Caenorhabditis elegans: one gene and its partners. The protein of the gene in region 1 interacts with the protein of each later gene in a biochemical or structural test. Each region holds a gene or a part of one and is shown on either strand. Other genes may lie near its edges. The genes, in order: unc-95, pxl-1 and rnf-5.

Region 1 (5,375 bases):
GGCTATCGGTCTCCTCGGACATTTGGACTCCGTATTGGCGGGAGTAGTCGTCTGTCTCCATATTGTCGTCCTCTGCTGGAATTTTTCGAATTCTACATTTTTTGGTCCAAGTTCTGAAAACTCACGAATCTTTGGCCTCTGCGGGATTTGTTCCTCTGGTGCCGGTGTAAGTCTCAAGGTGTACTCGATTTCCTCCTTCTTCTTCTTATTTCCATCTTCACCGTCACGTCCACGTTGTCCACGACGCAAAACTTCAGTCGTGGCGTTGACATCGTAAACAAGGGCCGCCAATGTGTCGGTCACCGCGTTTTGTCCTGAAAATGGATTCGGTGAAAGTTAAGAACAGACCTGAAGCTGGGGGAGGAGGTCCAGTTGGGCCCTAAAGCTATTGTTGGAGGTCTAGGTAAGGTCTGAATTAGGCTTGAAGCTTAGAAAGGGTTAGGGAGGGTCTATATGAGATCTGATGCTTAGGAAGGGCATAGAGGGGCCTGAAGCTTGATATGGGGCCTAGATGGGATCAGGGGCTTAGGATAGGACTTGAATGAGGACTGAAGCATAATACGGAGCCTAGGTAAGATCGAAGGTTTTGGATAGACCTAGCTGGAATCTAGAGCTCAGAATATGGTCTAGAGGGGCCTGAAGCCAAGGACAACGTCTAAATGAGTCAAAGGCTCAGAATGGGGGAGAAGTGGTTCTGATGCTTAGGATAGGGCATATGTTGGATCTGATGCTTAGGAAGGGCCTTGACGGGACTGAAGCTAAAATGGCTTCTGAAGCTTACATGGGGTCTAGGTGGAGTCTGAGGCCTAGCATAGGCTTTGGATAATGTCTGAAGCATAATACGGAGTCTAAATATGATCGAATGCTATGGATAGACCTAGCTGGAATCTAGATGTGCCCTAAAGCCTAGAAAGAATTATGTAGCAGATTATAGATGCGATCTGAACCTATTAAGGGTTCTAACGAGATCTTACTCTGATCCTGTTTCAGCTTGACAAGCTGCTGATTCATGTCATCCGAGCTAACAGCTTTCAACCTTGCGGCCAGCCAATCGTCGGTCGGATCAATCGAGATTCTACCATTGACTTCCATCTCGGTTTGGAATTGACGACGTTCCATTCTCTGAAACAAATTTCAATGTATTCCCGCACAAGATCTGAAAAAATCGATACCATCTGTTCTTGTTTGCGACGAATGATCTCGGTCGTCTGCTCGACATCGTTTTTCAACGCGGTAAGTGTTCCATTAACGATCTCGTCTTCTGCAAAATGTAAGGGATAGAGACAGAGAGATTTTGATGATCTGAGAGGTTTGTTGCTTAAAAATGTGCACCACTTTTTTTTTGGGTATTTCCTTAAAAAACGGCTGCATAAGAAAGTTGGAAATGACTCTTTTATAAGCAAATTTTGAATAAAATCTGATGTTGAGAATCAAAATTTAGCTGAAAATCCGAAATTCCTGTGGGAAGGTCTAGCTAAAAAATGGCACGGAAATAAGAAAATTAGGTATAGAAATTAAGCCTAAGCCTAAGCCTGAGCCTAATCCGAAGTCAAAGCCTAAGCCTAAGCCTAAACCGAAGTCAAAGCCTAAGCCTAAGCCTAAACCTAATGCTTAACTGCTCAAAACTAGCAAATTAATAGGGACCGTTTTTGATCCAAATCGTACAATTTTTGGTCAAAATCCAACTTTTCTGATCAAAATCGGAATTGGACTATTTTCAATCAAAACTGGACTATTTTCGGTCAAAATCCGACCTTTTTAAGCCAAAAATGATAGATTTTTGGGCGAATTTTGGACAATTTTTGGTCTAAATCCGACTGTTTTCAGTCAAAATTGGTCAAAAACGTGCAATTTTTGTCAAAATCGGACTACTTTTTGGTCAAAATCAGATAATTTTTGGAGAAAATCGGTCAATTTTTGGTCAAAATCAGACAATTTTTGGTGAAAATCGGTCAATTTTTGGTTAAAATCGGTCAATTTTTGGTTAAAATCGGTCAATTTTTGGTTAAAATCGGTCAATTTTTAGTTCAAATCCGGCTTTTTTTTGTTAAAAATCGGTAAATTTTTGGTCAAAATTGGACCATTTTGGTCAAATTCAAACCATTTATTGGTAAAAACATAACAATTGTTTGGTCAAAATTAGATAATTTGTGATCGGAATGAAACCATTTTTTTGGTTAAAATTGGACTATTTTCAATCAAAACTGGACTATTTTCGGTCAAAATCCGACCTTTTTAAGCCAAAAATGATAGATTTTTGGGCGAATTTTGGACAATTTTTGGTCTAAATCCGACTGTTTTCAGTCAAAATTGGACCATTTTGGTCAAATTCAAACCATTTATTGGTAAAAACATAACAATTGTTTGGTCAAAATTAGATAATTTGTGATCGAAATGAAACCATTTTTTGGTTAAAATTGGTCTATTTTCAATCAAAACTGGACTATTTTCGGTCAAAATCCGACCTTTTTAAACCAAAAATGATAGATTTTTGGGCGAATTTTGGACAATTTTTGGTCTAAATCCGACTGTTTTCAGTCAAAATTGGACCATTTTTGGGTAAAATCCAATCATTTTCTGTTAATTTTGACATTCTAGTATAGTTAACACAAAATTTTGTTATTTTCAAAGTTAATTGAGTATTACACCTCAATTCTTTAGTTTAACATTTCCCATTAGTTTAACATACCCCCCCCCCCCCCCCCCAGAGGACCCCCTAACTTCGACTCACGTTGACTAAACTCCTCATCATTACGGAACACCTTATCCTTATTGGAATTCCTGCTCTCACTACGCCACCGGGCCACGTGGCGCTCCACAGGATCCGGAATCGCAGAGAGCCGACCATCCTGAGACGGGGTCCCGGTGCCATGTCTCTGTTGACTACTACGAGATTCCGTAGTCCATTGATAAGATTCGAATTGTTGATGGCTGGGTTGAGGGGATATAGTCATCTGGAATTTTGAGTAGGAGGAGGAGGTGAACATTTTTGGGTTTTTCTGTGAGACTGAGTAAGAGGTTAATAATGGCATTTTCAATATTTAACTAGTGTGCACCTAAATTCTAGGTGTCTAAATAAAAAAGTATAATACAACAAATAAAGAAAAAAATCGTGTTAGTTCAAATTCGTGTAAAGGAAAACGTAGAGGAAAATCGACACAGCAGTGGTACACTGATGTGTATGAAGGGAGAGGAAAGCAAGAAGCAGCAACAGAAATATATTACAACATATGCTCTCACCGGCAGAAGAGAGCAGGCTACTGCGGGGGCAGAATCTGCCCGGCAGATGATGGTGAGGAGAAGACAATGAGGAATGAGAGATAGAGACGAAGATCGAGGAGTCTACAAAGATCGATTTGTTGAAATTATTTGAATTTTTTGCTCTTTTTTTTTTGAATTTGTTACCGTGAGTTAGGGTATTAACTAGTACCATAATACTATGCACGTATACTATACGGTAATTAAAGGTGGAGTAGCGCCAGTGGGGAAATTATTAAAAACCACTCCTTTGGTCCAAAAATGACCAAATATCATGATAAAACTTTTCAAAAAATTTTTGAAAATTTTTTATTTACTGTCAAAAAGTAGTGACTGTAGTGATTACTCAGTTTTGCCACTCATTATTTTGGAGGTCGATTGATTCAAAAAAAAAAAAAAAAATTTCCAATTTTTTTAATACTTTTTAATACAATTTTGTTTAAATTATTTGAATTAAAACATTGTAGGGGTCGAAACATGCGACATTTTTATAAATTTCCTCAAAATCTCGTAGTTTTCAAAATTTTGGCAATGTGCCAAAACTTTGACCGGAAATTATGGAAAATCTAAAAAATTTTGGAGTGCTTTATTATGATATGTTTGGATTTTTTGGATTTTTTTTCTTATGATATAAGTGTATTTAGACAAAATCCCCAAAAACTGCCAACTGACAAGCAATTTGTTACACGGTCTTATAAATTTTTTAAAACAACATTTGTATATAGCTCAGGGGTGGGCGGTAATAGCAAAAAAAACTGGGCAAATCGGCAAATTTTCGGTTTGCCGAGTTGCCGGACAATTTCAATTTCGGAATTTGCCGGTTTGCCGGAAATTTTCAATTCCGGCAATTTGCGGGTTTGTCCGACTTGCCGGAAATTTTTATTTTCGGCAATTTTCCGGTTTGCCAAGTTTCCAGAATTTTTCATTTTTGGCAAATTGCCGGTTTGCCGAGTTGCCGGAAATTTTCAATTCCGGCAGTTTGCCGATTTGTCGAAAATTTTCAATTTCAGCAAATTGCTGGTTTGCCGATTTGCCGGACAGTTTCAATTTCGGAATTTGCCGAGTTGTCGAAAATGTTCAATTCCGGCAATTTGCCGGTTTGTCCGACTTGCCGGAAATTTTTATTTTCGGCAATATTCCGGTTTGCCAAGTTTCCCGAATTTTTCAATTTCAGCAAATTGCTGGTTTGCCGATTTGCCGGACAGTTTCAATTTCGGAATTTGCCGAGTTGTCGAAAATGTTCAATTCCGGCAAATTGCCGGTTTGTCCGACTTGCCGGAAATTTTTATTTTCGGCAATATTCCGGTTTGCCAAGTTTCCCGAATTTTTCAATTTCAGCAAATTGCTGGTTTGCCGATTTGCCGGACAGTTTCAATTTCGGAATTTGCCGAGTTGTCGAAAATGTTCAATTCCGGCAAATTGCCGGTTTGTCCGACTTGCCGGAAATTTTTATTTTCGGCAATATTCCGGTTTGCCAAGTTTCCCGAATTTTTCAATTTCAGCAAATTGCTGGTTTGCCGATTTGCCGGACAGTTTCAATTTCGGAATTTGCCGAGTTGTCGAAAATGTTCAATTCCGGCAAATTGCCGGTTTGTCCGACTTGCCGGAAATTTTTATTTTCGGCAATATTCCGGTTGGCCAAGTTTCCCGAATTTTTCATTGTCGGCAAATTGCCGGTTTGCCGATTCGCCGGAAATTTTCAATTCCGGCAATTTTCCGGTTTGCCGGATATGAACTTGCCAGAAGTTTTTAGACCCAATTTTTTTATAATGTGTCTTTTTGAAAATTTTCCGGGTTTTTTAAAAGATATTTTCTTAGAATATGCCTGCTTTTCAGAATAGATGTAGGAACATGAATAGATGTAGGAACACATTTTTTCCGATTAAAATTGAAATTCTGATATTTTCAACAAAAAAAATTTTGCTGCAACAAATCGTTTGCCGCTCACCCCTGGTCCACAGAGATCTTGGCTTTTACAATTATAACAACGTAATCATTCTGTTTAATGTTATTTATCCAATCTGGCCGTAGTAATGGTATATCCTCAAAACAAAAATCCTCATTTTCATCCAAATATACATTTTCTTTTCAATTATCTAGCGGATTAGTCATTCCAC
Region 2 (5,375 bases), on another chromosome or scaffold:
ATGAAAACTGGAGGGAATATTGTAATAAGATAAACTCTGGAATTTTCAAAAACATGATCAATTTTGAATATTTAACATTATATGTCAAAGTTTGATACAAAATGCATACCAATTTGATGTGTTCTTCTCAAAACCCACACTTTCTTCGGTCTCAATTGTATCCTCTCTTTCTCTTTTCCTTCTGTTGTACTTCCTTCCCTTCTACTTCATTCTCTTTTTCTATAAAATCTTCTCTAAAATCGTCGTTTTCTTCTTCTTCTTGATCATTTCCGCCCACCTATCACTTTTTCCCTCATGATGCCCGCTCACTTGTTTAGCAACACGAACAGCTGTGATTTGCCTCTTGCCACTGATTCCAATCACTTTTCTCCTCAGCTTTTTCTATTGATATTTCAATTTTTGTTTCATATTTTTGATTTTTTTTTCTAAATTTGGCTCCGCCCATTCATAGATGTCTGTGAACTCCTTCCTGCTCCGTATAGAATTATTAAAGTTTTAATGGTATAGAAGAAAAACTAAAAATACAATTCAAAGTGTTGAATAAAAAAATAATTTATATATCTATGTGTCTACTTACCGTCTATTTTCTGAATTTTTTGTTTGAAGATTTACGAATTTCCCCGATTTTGGTAATTTCAAATTATAGAATTAAATGTGAAATGTTCGCGTACAAAAACGGGTGTATACAAGCTGGCATTTTTTACCTACTTGCCTTAAAAACTTGAATCTTGAATACGGTACGTGGTCCCGAAAATAAAATTGGTGACCGAATTTTCTTACGGGACAGTGTAAAAAATTATCCCATATTTTAAGAATTTATAATAATTTTGTTTTCTAAATTTTCCACAAATTCCGTCTTCCACAACTGATCCCTAGGTACACTCTCCTTTCGAAACCTACTTGAAACATTTTGCAAACTTTTTTTCTGTTTGAATTACGATATGCTCGTATGTGTCTCTTCGGATCTCCATGATCTTTTCAAAGTCATTTCGATGGTTTTATTTATATCCGTGGCGGCGCAAACTTGTCATCAAAAAGTTAAAGCATGCGGTGGGAGGCGAGAGACACTCTTGACGCGTTTTTTTGTTTTACTGTGAGCAGATCTCTTGAGTCTCTTGGAGACTTTTTTTGCTAGCTTCACTAACTATTACAAGACATTTTAGAGCATAGTTTTCTTTCTAACCAGTGGAGAGTTTTATCTAGAGTCTTTAGAGCCAGTACCATTAATAAATTTCATCAATTGTATAGAGCCACATTTTTAGAAACTGTATCATTTTTAGATCAACCGTCGTACTTACTATCTTACGGCAGCCGTTTAGTTACATTTCAATCGAATTCAATTCGAATTCCCTCAAGCCTGTGTACATCTCAATCTCTTCCTCCCGCTCATTCTTGATTCAAAAACAAAAACTTTGCCTCCATTTCTTCCCGCTCTTTTCTATGTGTCGTTTATGTGTCTGTCTCTGTATCTCTTTAACTTTCACACTATTTCCTTTTATCGTCTATCTCTTCTCTTTTTTGAAGAAACTCCTAAAGATTAAGGGCCAAGATCATGAAGAATTCCCATGTTCCATTTTCTAGTTTTTCCTTAAATCAAATAATATTCTGGTAAAATAATAGTTTCAAGAAGTTTCAAGAACTTCCAAACAACTTTCACAATATACCGTAGAAATTCATAAAAGTTTTGACATTTCTCATTTTTCATGCATGATTGGCATGTTCCTTTAGTACTCGATCCGGTTTCACAACACCGTTTAAAATGTGATCTATTCAAACGGAATATGTGATTTCAATGTATCTCTTGTCATAGGGAGACTTCTGCTACTTGGCCGAGAAAAGGGATACCTCGGTCATCGCTTTCTTTGGCGGTCATGTTGCTAATAATTTATTTAGATTTTCCAAAAATTTTTTTTTTCGAAAAAGAGAGATTGGATTACTAGATTGGATTACTGATTTGACTTTCAAGGTTTTTTTAAATATTTCCTCGTTATCGATCCCTTTTCCAAGTACCAATTATTTCCAGCAACCTGGATTATTTTCTAATTAAATTTCAATTCAATTAGCAAAAACATGTACTAGGAATATGTGTAATTGAAAAAACTCTTAACGAACTGAATTGCATAAAACCATTCCTATATGTTGCTAAAATGTCCTAATATCATAGAAAACGGTTCAAATGTTTTTTTAAAATAGTGTAGTCAAAAAGTGGCTAGTTCTCACCTTCTTAATTTTGGAATTCTACAAAAAAGTTTTTTTTTCACAATTTTAAATTTGAACCAAAATTATCTTAACACTTTTTCACAATTAAACTAAGTTTTCCTATTGATCAAGCTTTAACTAATATCAAAATGATCATTCCTATTCTGAGAAGCAAATTAATCAAATTAAAATATATGGAAAGTAGACATATCTACATTAAAAAATTTTTTATGGGAAAATAGACACTTCTAATTTAAATTTTTTTAATGAAAAGTAGACACTTCTACTTTAAAAATTTGAGAGGTGAAGTGTCTACTTACTATTAGACATCCTTTTCAATATTTTAAAAACTTAGGCTACTGGATTATTTTCTGAGGATTCCTCATCAAACTGTAATTTTTATAAATAAAAATTTGTATTTTTGTTATCCAGATGCTATTCTTTTTTCAATGTTTTGTACTTCTTTTATGTCATCTCCATAAATCTTTTTTCCTTCTCCTCCTCTTTCTTTCTTCCTTTTTTCTTTTTTTTTGTCGGCTTCTTCATCGTTTTTTGTCTTCTTCCTCCCACTTTTTTCCACTCACTCACACATATTTTGACACATTCTCTCACATTTTTAGTGGTCCCCATACACATGCATACACACTCATCTATTATTGCACTTTTCCTTCTTTTATACACCCTCATTGGTACCGTTTTTTACTATTTTGAACATCTTGTTGTAAATTCGATCAATTGATAATTTGTTGATTTTCCGAAACTTGACTAAGCCGTCGGGTTGCATTCTGAGGTTCTGAAATAACTGAATTTTGGACTTTTTATAAAATCCAATTACATTATAACTTCTAATAAAGCTCTTTCGTCCGCCTTTTAATTGTTTTTTTCTTGATTTTCTCCTGAACATTTTTTGAATATTTCAGTAAGAATGCCAAGCGACGATCGTTTTGCGGATGCGGTTAAACCAGCTTTAGGTACCCAAGAACTTTCTAATGGAGGCTTTCCGGTGGAGAAATGCTCCCAGTAGTAGTCGTAGTACTAGTTTGGAAATTATGAGTTTTTTGATTAATGGGAAACTTATTAATATTTGGATGGAATTATCATAATTTTGAAAATTTATATGATTTTCATACTTGATAGTTTTCAATAATAAAATTCTTAAAAAGTGGGTTTTCACTTTTCAATTTGAAACATTGAAGAGTTCAAATTCTGTAATTGAAACAAAAAATAAATAAATATATTATTTTAATTTCAGAAGCCCTTCTATCGGATCTTCAACACACCACAGAAGTGCTCCGCCGTGCTCATATAAGTGATCGCCGCTCACAGAGTCGTGATGATTTTGAGCAATCCTATGATCTTCAGGGAAATCTTAACACACAGAGGTTAGTTTTTTTTTAATGTTACAAACCTTTCCATACATGTTTTAACATAAACTAAACATCTAATATTTGTGTCAGTGTGAGCAATGGAAATATAACCACTTCACCCTACAAACGTCGTTCGTCAGAAGGAAAAGATTATTCAAAAAGTCAGGAAAGGATTTATGGTTTGTTTTTCATGTAAAGAACATTAATATGTAATTGTATCTGTAGAAAATGAATCAAGACTTAACCCACCAGTCTATTCACGTCCAAGTGTCCAAAGTCTATTGTCTCAAGTCGAAGAACCACCAATTCGAGCAAGCAGGTAGGAGAAAACGTTTTTTGTTTTTTTGAAAACATTTTTATCTTCGGAGTCATATTTTGAAATTCGTGGCCTAGAAAAACCTTTTAAAAAGCTATACTATGAGTCAATTTAAATATTAATTTCAAATCTTCTGATTTAATAATTTCAAGAATCTTGCGATTAGGATTCTTAAAAGGAAAAATTTAAAAAATTTTGATTGGCACTTTCAAAAAAATCTGTAAAACATTAACATCTTACATCTGAGAATGCGAAAATATAAATCAATGGCCTAGAACACACAAAAAATGTTAGACCAACAATTCAGAATTTAGAATTCTATTAGGCATTTTAATTCGAAAATTCATAATTTTTTGTAGCCTAGAAAGTTCACTTAAGGCCTCGACATTTTTATAAGATTTGTTGAAAATTGTTAATTTTTATATCAACATTTTTTGTGCATCTTCAAAAAAATTGAAAACTTATGTATATCACGAAAATTGGTTCAGATATATATTTTTTTAATTTCTAAAAGCTTTCCAGACAACAAAAGAAAAATGGCCTTTAAGTTCCAAAAATAGCTCCGAAAATAAAAATGTTGAAAATATAAAACTAGAAAATTCCGATTTGAAATGGTCAAGCCCGTTTATCAAAATGCCAACTCCGTGTTCCATTTTCCCGCCGGCTCTTAGGTCATTTCCCGTGTTTCTGCGTCTAAAATCCCGGGAACAAACAAAAACTCAAATGTGAAGGGAAGAACGAGAAAAAAGACTAATAACATACACGCATATTACTTCTACTCGTCTCATCCCGTGTCGCAAATCATCTCTTCTTCCCCGGTACAGAGGAGGAGCCGGTTATTTTATTTTTCACTGAGTTTCTTCGTCTTGCTCAGTATCTCTTGAGCTCAACAGGGGTAAAATGCTGTAGGGCGGGAGAGTACCTACTCTCTATCAAGTGAGAAAGAAAAATATAGAGAAAAGGAGCAGCACACCTTTTTCTTTTCCACGCACACAACACTTTTACCTATCACTTGGCGGAATGATGCGCGAGTTGCAACAACGGCTTGACCATTTCAATGGTCCAAATTATGCACAAAATAGTCATTCAAACCACCAACAACATCATTCGGTTTATAGCTCACGCAAGAGTCTCGGACCACCAAGTCAGGCACAATCCTACTCTGATGTCGTAAGTTTTTATTTCTTTTCGGGGGGAGCTTCTGGGAAGGGAAACTGAAATGTTTTCGTTGGGAGACCTTAATTAAAAATGTCCTTAAATTAGAATTTTCAAAATCCCAGAATCTTCATTAAACTTTCCCAATCTCTACAAATCTAATTCCGGATATTTCTGTGTTCACAAATTTTAAAACCTAATTTACTGATCCTGAACGATATGTATTCAACTTAGACGCAAACTTTATGAATTTGTAGTTTTTCCTATTTTGGTCACATGACTACAAAGTAGAAAATTCGGTCATTCTTTTAAAATAAAGGTTTCTTGAAATTTTTGGG
Region 3 (5,375 bases), on another chromosome or scaffold:
CAGCTGATTCTCCGTGTCCACGGGGTCCTGAAAATTTTCGGTTTTTTTTCAGAGAAAAATCGAAAATTTTTGCTTTTCTGGTTAAAATTATAGAGTTAGAGTTTTCCAAATGTTTATACATTTTTTGTTTGTTTTTATTTTCTGAAATTTTTCTAACAAAGTTTTTTTTTCTAATGTTATCAAATCTGGCAAAATTTCAGAATTTTTCAGAAATTCTAGTTTTTTTAATTATTAAATTTTTTATTTTTTACAGTTTCCTCGTATTTTTTTAGTAAATTTTTTCAGAATTTTAGAATTTTCCTATTTAAAAAATGTAAAAATCAAAAAAACAAATTTAAATAAGTTCTTTTTTTTTAATTCTTTAATAGAAAAAAAACTTTTTTCTTGGATTTTTCTGATTTTTCTTCAAAAATAATCGAAAAATCTGGAATTTTCCCTAAAACTCTAATTACCATGTGTATGTCCATGAGTATGTGCATGTGTACCATCATTTCCGTCATTTCCTCCACCATTTCCACCACCAGCTGCTGCTGCTCCTTGATTACCATTTCCAAAGAATGAAGCAACAAATGACAATGGGAAGATGCCTTGAATGAAAGGTAGCATGAACATCAACGGGAACAGACCATTCACCGTACCAATTCCAAATGAAAAATGCACATTTGGTCCGCCGCCGCCCATCATTCCGCCATCGCCACCCCAATTGAAACCGGCAAATGATTGCTGAAAGAGGGTTTTCGAGATTTTGTTAGTTTTTGGGTGTGTGTGTGTTATGCGCTTTTTGGGATTATTTTGGTATTTATTTAGATTTTTTAATAAATTATAAATTGGTTATTTTTTCTTAAAGAAAAATTGTGCAAAAAGCAAACATTTTGTCAGCTTTCTAAAAAGTTCGAAAATTTTTTTTTTTTTTTTGAAAAATTTATGTTTAAAAACACTTGGCTTTTTATCGTGTTTTTGGCTTAAAAATTTCCTTTAGCAATTGTTTTCTTTTTTCTCTTTTTATTATTTATTTAAAAAAGAAATTATGTGTTTGAAAGAGACATTAATTTCCGATAAAACTATATTTGCCGAACATTTAAGAAAAATTCGGTTAAAATTATAGAAAACACTTTCCAATAAAACCGGTCTTTTTGTTATAATCATGTGAAATTTTTCTTCTTTTTTTCATTTAAAAAAAAGTAAAATTTGATGATGATGATGAGAAAATTGAAAAAAATAGCATAATGTCTTTTTTTAAGTAGTTCAGAAGTGTTAATCAGTGCATGAGTAGTGCATACCGGTGGTGGTTCACTTCGTTGTCCTTTTGGACGTGGTGGAACTTTTTTACGTGGATCCGATGAATCGCCACCTCTTCCATAGATCGGTACAACTTTATTCCCATCAATTGCACTTTTACACACTGGACAAACTTGATTATTTGGACGAGTATCAAGCCATTGACTCAGACATGGCCAACAAAAAAGATGTCCACATAGGGAAACGACTGCATCTTTTGCTGCGTCCAAACAAATATTACATTCAAATCTGCAAAATTACGATTATTAAATTTTGGAAATTCTGGAAACTTGTATTTTTAGAAACGGTGAAAATACGAAAAATTTGAAAAGAGTCAGTTTTTAAAATTCTTCGATTTTTTTGTCAATTTTTCGGGAAAATTATTAGTTTTGATAACTTTTTTTTGAAGACATACTGCTTGTAAATTCAAAACTTAGGCCATTTTCGTTTTTCCTACTTTTTTTGAAATTTTTGAAAATAACTGTAATATTTTCTGTCGGATTTTTTTTCTCGTATTTCGGTTTCTTGTTGATTTTCCGGAAAACTCCTTTTTTAAAAATAATTTTCGGTTATCTTTGAATCTGTTCTCATTAAAATCAAAACATTTCTGGTTAATTCGTAGTTTTTCGGATGTTTTAAAGTGTCGTAAAAGTATTTAGATAAACTGCCGTTTTTTGAAAATTTACAGCAAAAATAGAGAAATTATTCGGAAAAATAATTAAAAAAAAAAAACAGAAAATATGTAATTTTAGATTTCTCAAAAAAAATTAATCAATAAAAATTCGTTTTTTTAATTTCCGGTCATTTGTTATGTCTAACGATTAAAACATCGATTTTTTTCTAAATTTACCTCGCAGATTCATCTTTATTACTGGAGCTCGTGGGCTCCTCGGATGGAGCTTTCGTCTCCGACGCCATTGGCTCCGAACTCTGAAATTCCTTATTTAATTCTCTCTGAAATCACGTATTAAAATATATAAAAATGGTAGAGATAACCATAGAAGTTTTTAAAAAATGAACATTGGAAATTGAAATTGGATATTTCATTAGGTCTGGAATTGGAAAATTGGGAGATTGGAATTTTAACCAGCAATTGAAAAAAACAAACAAAGAAAAAATAAATAAAAATTAAATTTTACAATGGAGGTACAACAATTCCTTGCTCCTTTCTCTCGAAATATCTTTGCCTCGCTGCCTCAATATCTTCTTCTGTATTCCGCTGCTTCAGAATTTCTTTGAGTCCGTCTAATCTTGCTTCTTTATCGATTTTCTTCGGCTTCAGCTTATCTTTAAGCGAGATTTTCGGCGCTTTTTCAGATTTTTCAGATTTCCCTTCAGGCGATCTTCTACTCCCTGATTCTCTCGATTCTATGGACTTCCTTGAAGTTGGTGACGGGCTTGAAGTCCTTCTCCGAGCTCGTGGAGCTCTTGCACCTTCATCATCTGAAGATGGAGGTGTTGGAGTGTAGTTTCGCTGACGGATTCTCTCTGCGTGAGTCGTTGCTTTTTTTTTTGATACCGTATTCAGGCCAGGTTTAAGATCTCCTTCGAAATTTTTTTGTGGAGGTTTTGGTGCTTTTTCCTCGTCAGAATCATCGGAATAAATTGATTTTTTAAGCTTTTCGGCTGGTTTCTTATCCGATTTTTCCGGTTTCGGATCAATTTCTTCATCAGAATCTTCCCGTTTTCTCACATTTTTCTGCTCTTTCTTCCTCTGTTTAATAGCTGTAGGATCTCTTGCCAAATCGTTTAAAAGCGTCCTTCCCATACCAATTTCCCATAATTTCTGTTTCTGAACACTTGTCATATCATTAAAAGCAGCTTCTTCAGCTTCTTGTTCCCGATGTTTCTTCACTTCTTCCTGTTGCTTACGGTATGCTCCAGTTACAAAAACTTCTTTATCATCAAATTCATCGCCTTCTTTCTCTCGTTCTCTGAGTTGTTGGCGTTCTTCACGAGAAAATTGTTCGAGTTGGCGACGAGCATGGGCTTTAATGATGTTCTCCGCGTATTTCGATTCACGATTTTTGTCCGCTTTTCGAGCTTCTTCTTTCTGCAAAAACAAAGCTGTTAGTTGAATTTTTCAGCCTAAAAATACTGAAACTTCTGAAACAAACCATTTTTGGTTAAAGATGTGTTTTTTTTTCTTTTTTAACGAAAAATTTTCGATTCTCTAAAAACCCGAAAAATCGAAAATGTTCGTTTATTCTTGTCCATTTTTTAGATTTAAAAAAATATCAAAATTGTTAGTGGAAACTTATTATATAAATTGTTTTATTTGTTGAAAATTTTTTTTTCATATTTTCTTATCGAAAATTCTTTGTTAATGGTTTTAAAATCTACACTTTTTCGTTTTATTTTTAGTATTTTTTTTTTCGATTTTCAACTTTTCGAGCCCTCACTTTTTCATTCTTAATCGCCTGAATTTCATCGTAATTCCCGTCATAATCGAAAATCGTCGGATCCTCGGCTTCTGCCTTTTGATGTTCTCGTTCTGCTGCTTTTTGCACACGAATAACTGAAGCTGATGCCATATTGGTAGCTGTGGCTGGCTGAAAAGTAAGAAATTTATAATTCAGAAATTTATAAAAGCTTTTCTAAATCGAAAAATAGTCAAAAACTAAAAATGTTTAAAATTGCTAGTAGGAAAAAATTATTTTTGATAATTTTCGGTCATTTCTTTGTTGTTTGAAAACTTTTTCTCCTACACTAAATTTTTCAAACTTCTCTGAATTTTACCACATTATCATCATCATCATCGTCTCCAAAAACACTGGAAACTCGAATTGGAGCAGCTTTCGGTTCATCTTTTTTCCGAATATTTAATCCTACATGCCGTTTTGATGCCATCTAAAAACTTTTTTATTTTATTTTTCCAATTAAAAGAATCCAAAGGATACAGTTTCAGATATAAAACACCGCTGTGAACGGGAATTGGAAATAAAAATTAAACAGGAAGAATAAATAAAGTCGTAATTTTTTTTTCAAAGAAATCAGAAAAATCACCCGGTGCCCGGCAAAAAAGAAGTAACGAGAAAAAATGAAAAAACGAGAATAAAAATGCAATTGGAATGACAATTTTTGTGTGTATTTGTGACTATTTGATAACTTTGGGATGCAGTTAGAAATTATTAAATAAAAATAAATAAGTAAAAATTAAAATAAAAAGATTCCTATTCCAATCCCATCCATGTGGTGAGTCCTTGAACAGCTGTTACAATCAATGGCTGCCAGCAGACGAGATAACGGATCCAGTCAAGCAATTTTCCATAGAATAAATGAGGTTTCTCCCATCTGAAATTGAAAATTTTTAAAGAATTTATAATTAAATTTGATTTTTTCAAAAAACTAACGGATTTTTAAACATTCTCTGTAAATCGACACGTTCTTTGCAATACGGGCATGTTTGAAGTTTTCCAACAACTACCCATCCTCTGATACAGAATTCGTGAAAAACGTGGCCACATGAGAGTCTGAAATTATTGATTTTAAGTTTAACAAGAGCTTTCTAGCCTCATGTGTCGATTTACTTTGTTAAATGCAAAAGGGTGCGCGCCTTTAAAGAGTACTGTAAATTTTAAATTTCTGGTGCACCGGATTTTCGTCAATTTTTCAACAAAAAAATGTTAATCAAATTTTATTTATTGAGGCACCACGGATTCAAGATCTGGTGGAATTCCGGATCTACGTTTTCCGGACCTGGCACCGTGCCAACGCAAAAAAAAATTTCTCGGAGGTCTTGATTTTATTTTTCTGTGTAACTTTTATTCGTATATTTGAATTTTTAATTATCAAATAAAAAATTTCACGAAAAACTGTGGAAAAATCGATGAAAATTCGTTCAAAAGCTTCATAATATCAGTTTTTAAAAATTTGGTGCTTTCTGGTGATTCTCGAAGAAAACTGGAAAACTACTTATTAATTCTTTTTTTTAATTAAAAAAAGTGAAAATTCCAAAAATCTGCTGAACTTCTCCACTCACTTATACAATTTTTCATCTTCATCTTCAACCATTTTCGTTGTAACCACAGCATCTGCATCATGAACATGTTCCGAATCATCAAGACGTCCTCCACAAACAGCACAGACACCGTCTT

What was found.
Region 2: the proteins of unc-95 (region 1) and pxl-1 form a complex in vitro, tested with the Caenorhabditis elegans proteins (one study listed by BioGRID).
Region 3: of the proteins of unc-95 (region 1) and rnf-5, one has a biochemical effect on the other in vitro, tested with the Caenorhabditis elegans proteins (one study listed by BioGRID).

What each region holds. Positions count from the first base shown.
Region 1 is NC_003279.8:14,381,784-14,387,158, forward strand, and holds the start of unc-95 (LIM domain-containing protein unc-95), read right to left. Parts: upstream 2,955-5,375; coding exon 2,732-2,954; intron 1,604-2,731; exon of another isoform or gene 1,516-1,603; intron 1,262-1,515; coding exon 1,173-1,261; intron 1,123-1,172; coding exon 975-1,122; intron 315-974; coding exon 126-314; intron 76-125; coding exon 1-75. UniProt on the Caenorhabditis elegans protein: Required for the assembly and integrity of muscle dense bodies, which establish the adhesion sites of the muscle cells to the extracellular matrix.
Region 2 is NC_003281.10:5,893,756-5,899,130, reverse strand, and holds the start of pxl-1 (Paxillin homolog 1), read left to right. Parts: upstream 1-3,119; 5' UTR 3,120-3,124; coding exon 3,125-3,170; intron 3,171-3,451; coding exon 3,452-3,581; intron 3,582-3,656; coding exon 3,657-3,745; intron 3,746-3,791; coding exon 3,792-3,885; intron 3,886-4,844; exon of another isoform or gene 4,845-4,902; coding exon of another isoform or gene 4,903-5,000; coding exon 5,001-5,052; intron 5,053-5,375. UniProt on the Caenorhabditis elegans protein: Required for myofilament organization of the pharyngeal sarcomeres and for pharyngeal muscle contractions and hence for pharyngeal pumping. Together with lin-8, might be required for myofilament organization in the body wall muscles.
Region 3 is NC_003281.10:4,164,638-4,170,012, forward strand, and holds the start of rnf-5 (E3 ubiquitin ligase rnf-5), read right to left. Parts: upstream 2,209-5,375; 5' UTR 2,197-2,208; coding exon 2,129-2,196; intron 1,528-2,128; coding exon 1,281-1,527; intron 724-1,280; coding exon 453-723; intron 28-452; coding exon 1-27. Other genes in the region: ccdc-55 (Nuclear speckle splicing regulatory protein 1 homolog), read right to left, coding at 2,414-3,331, 3,681-3,830, 4,018-4,128; E3 ubiquitin ligase rnf-121, read right to left, coding at 4,452-4,572, 4,632-4,751, 5,261-5,375.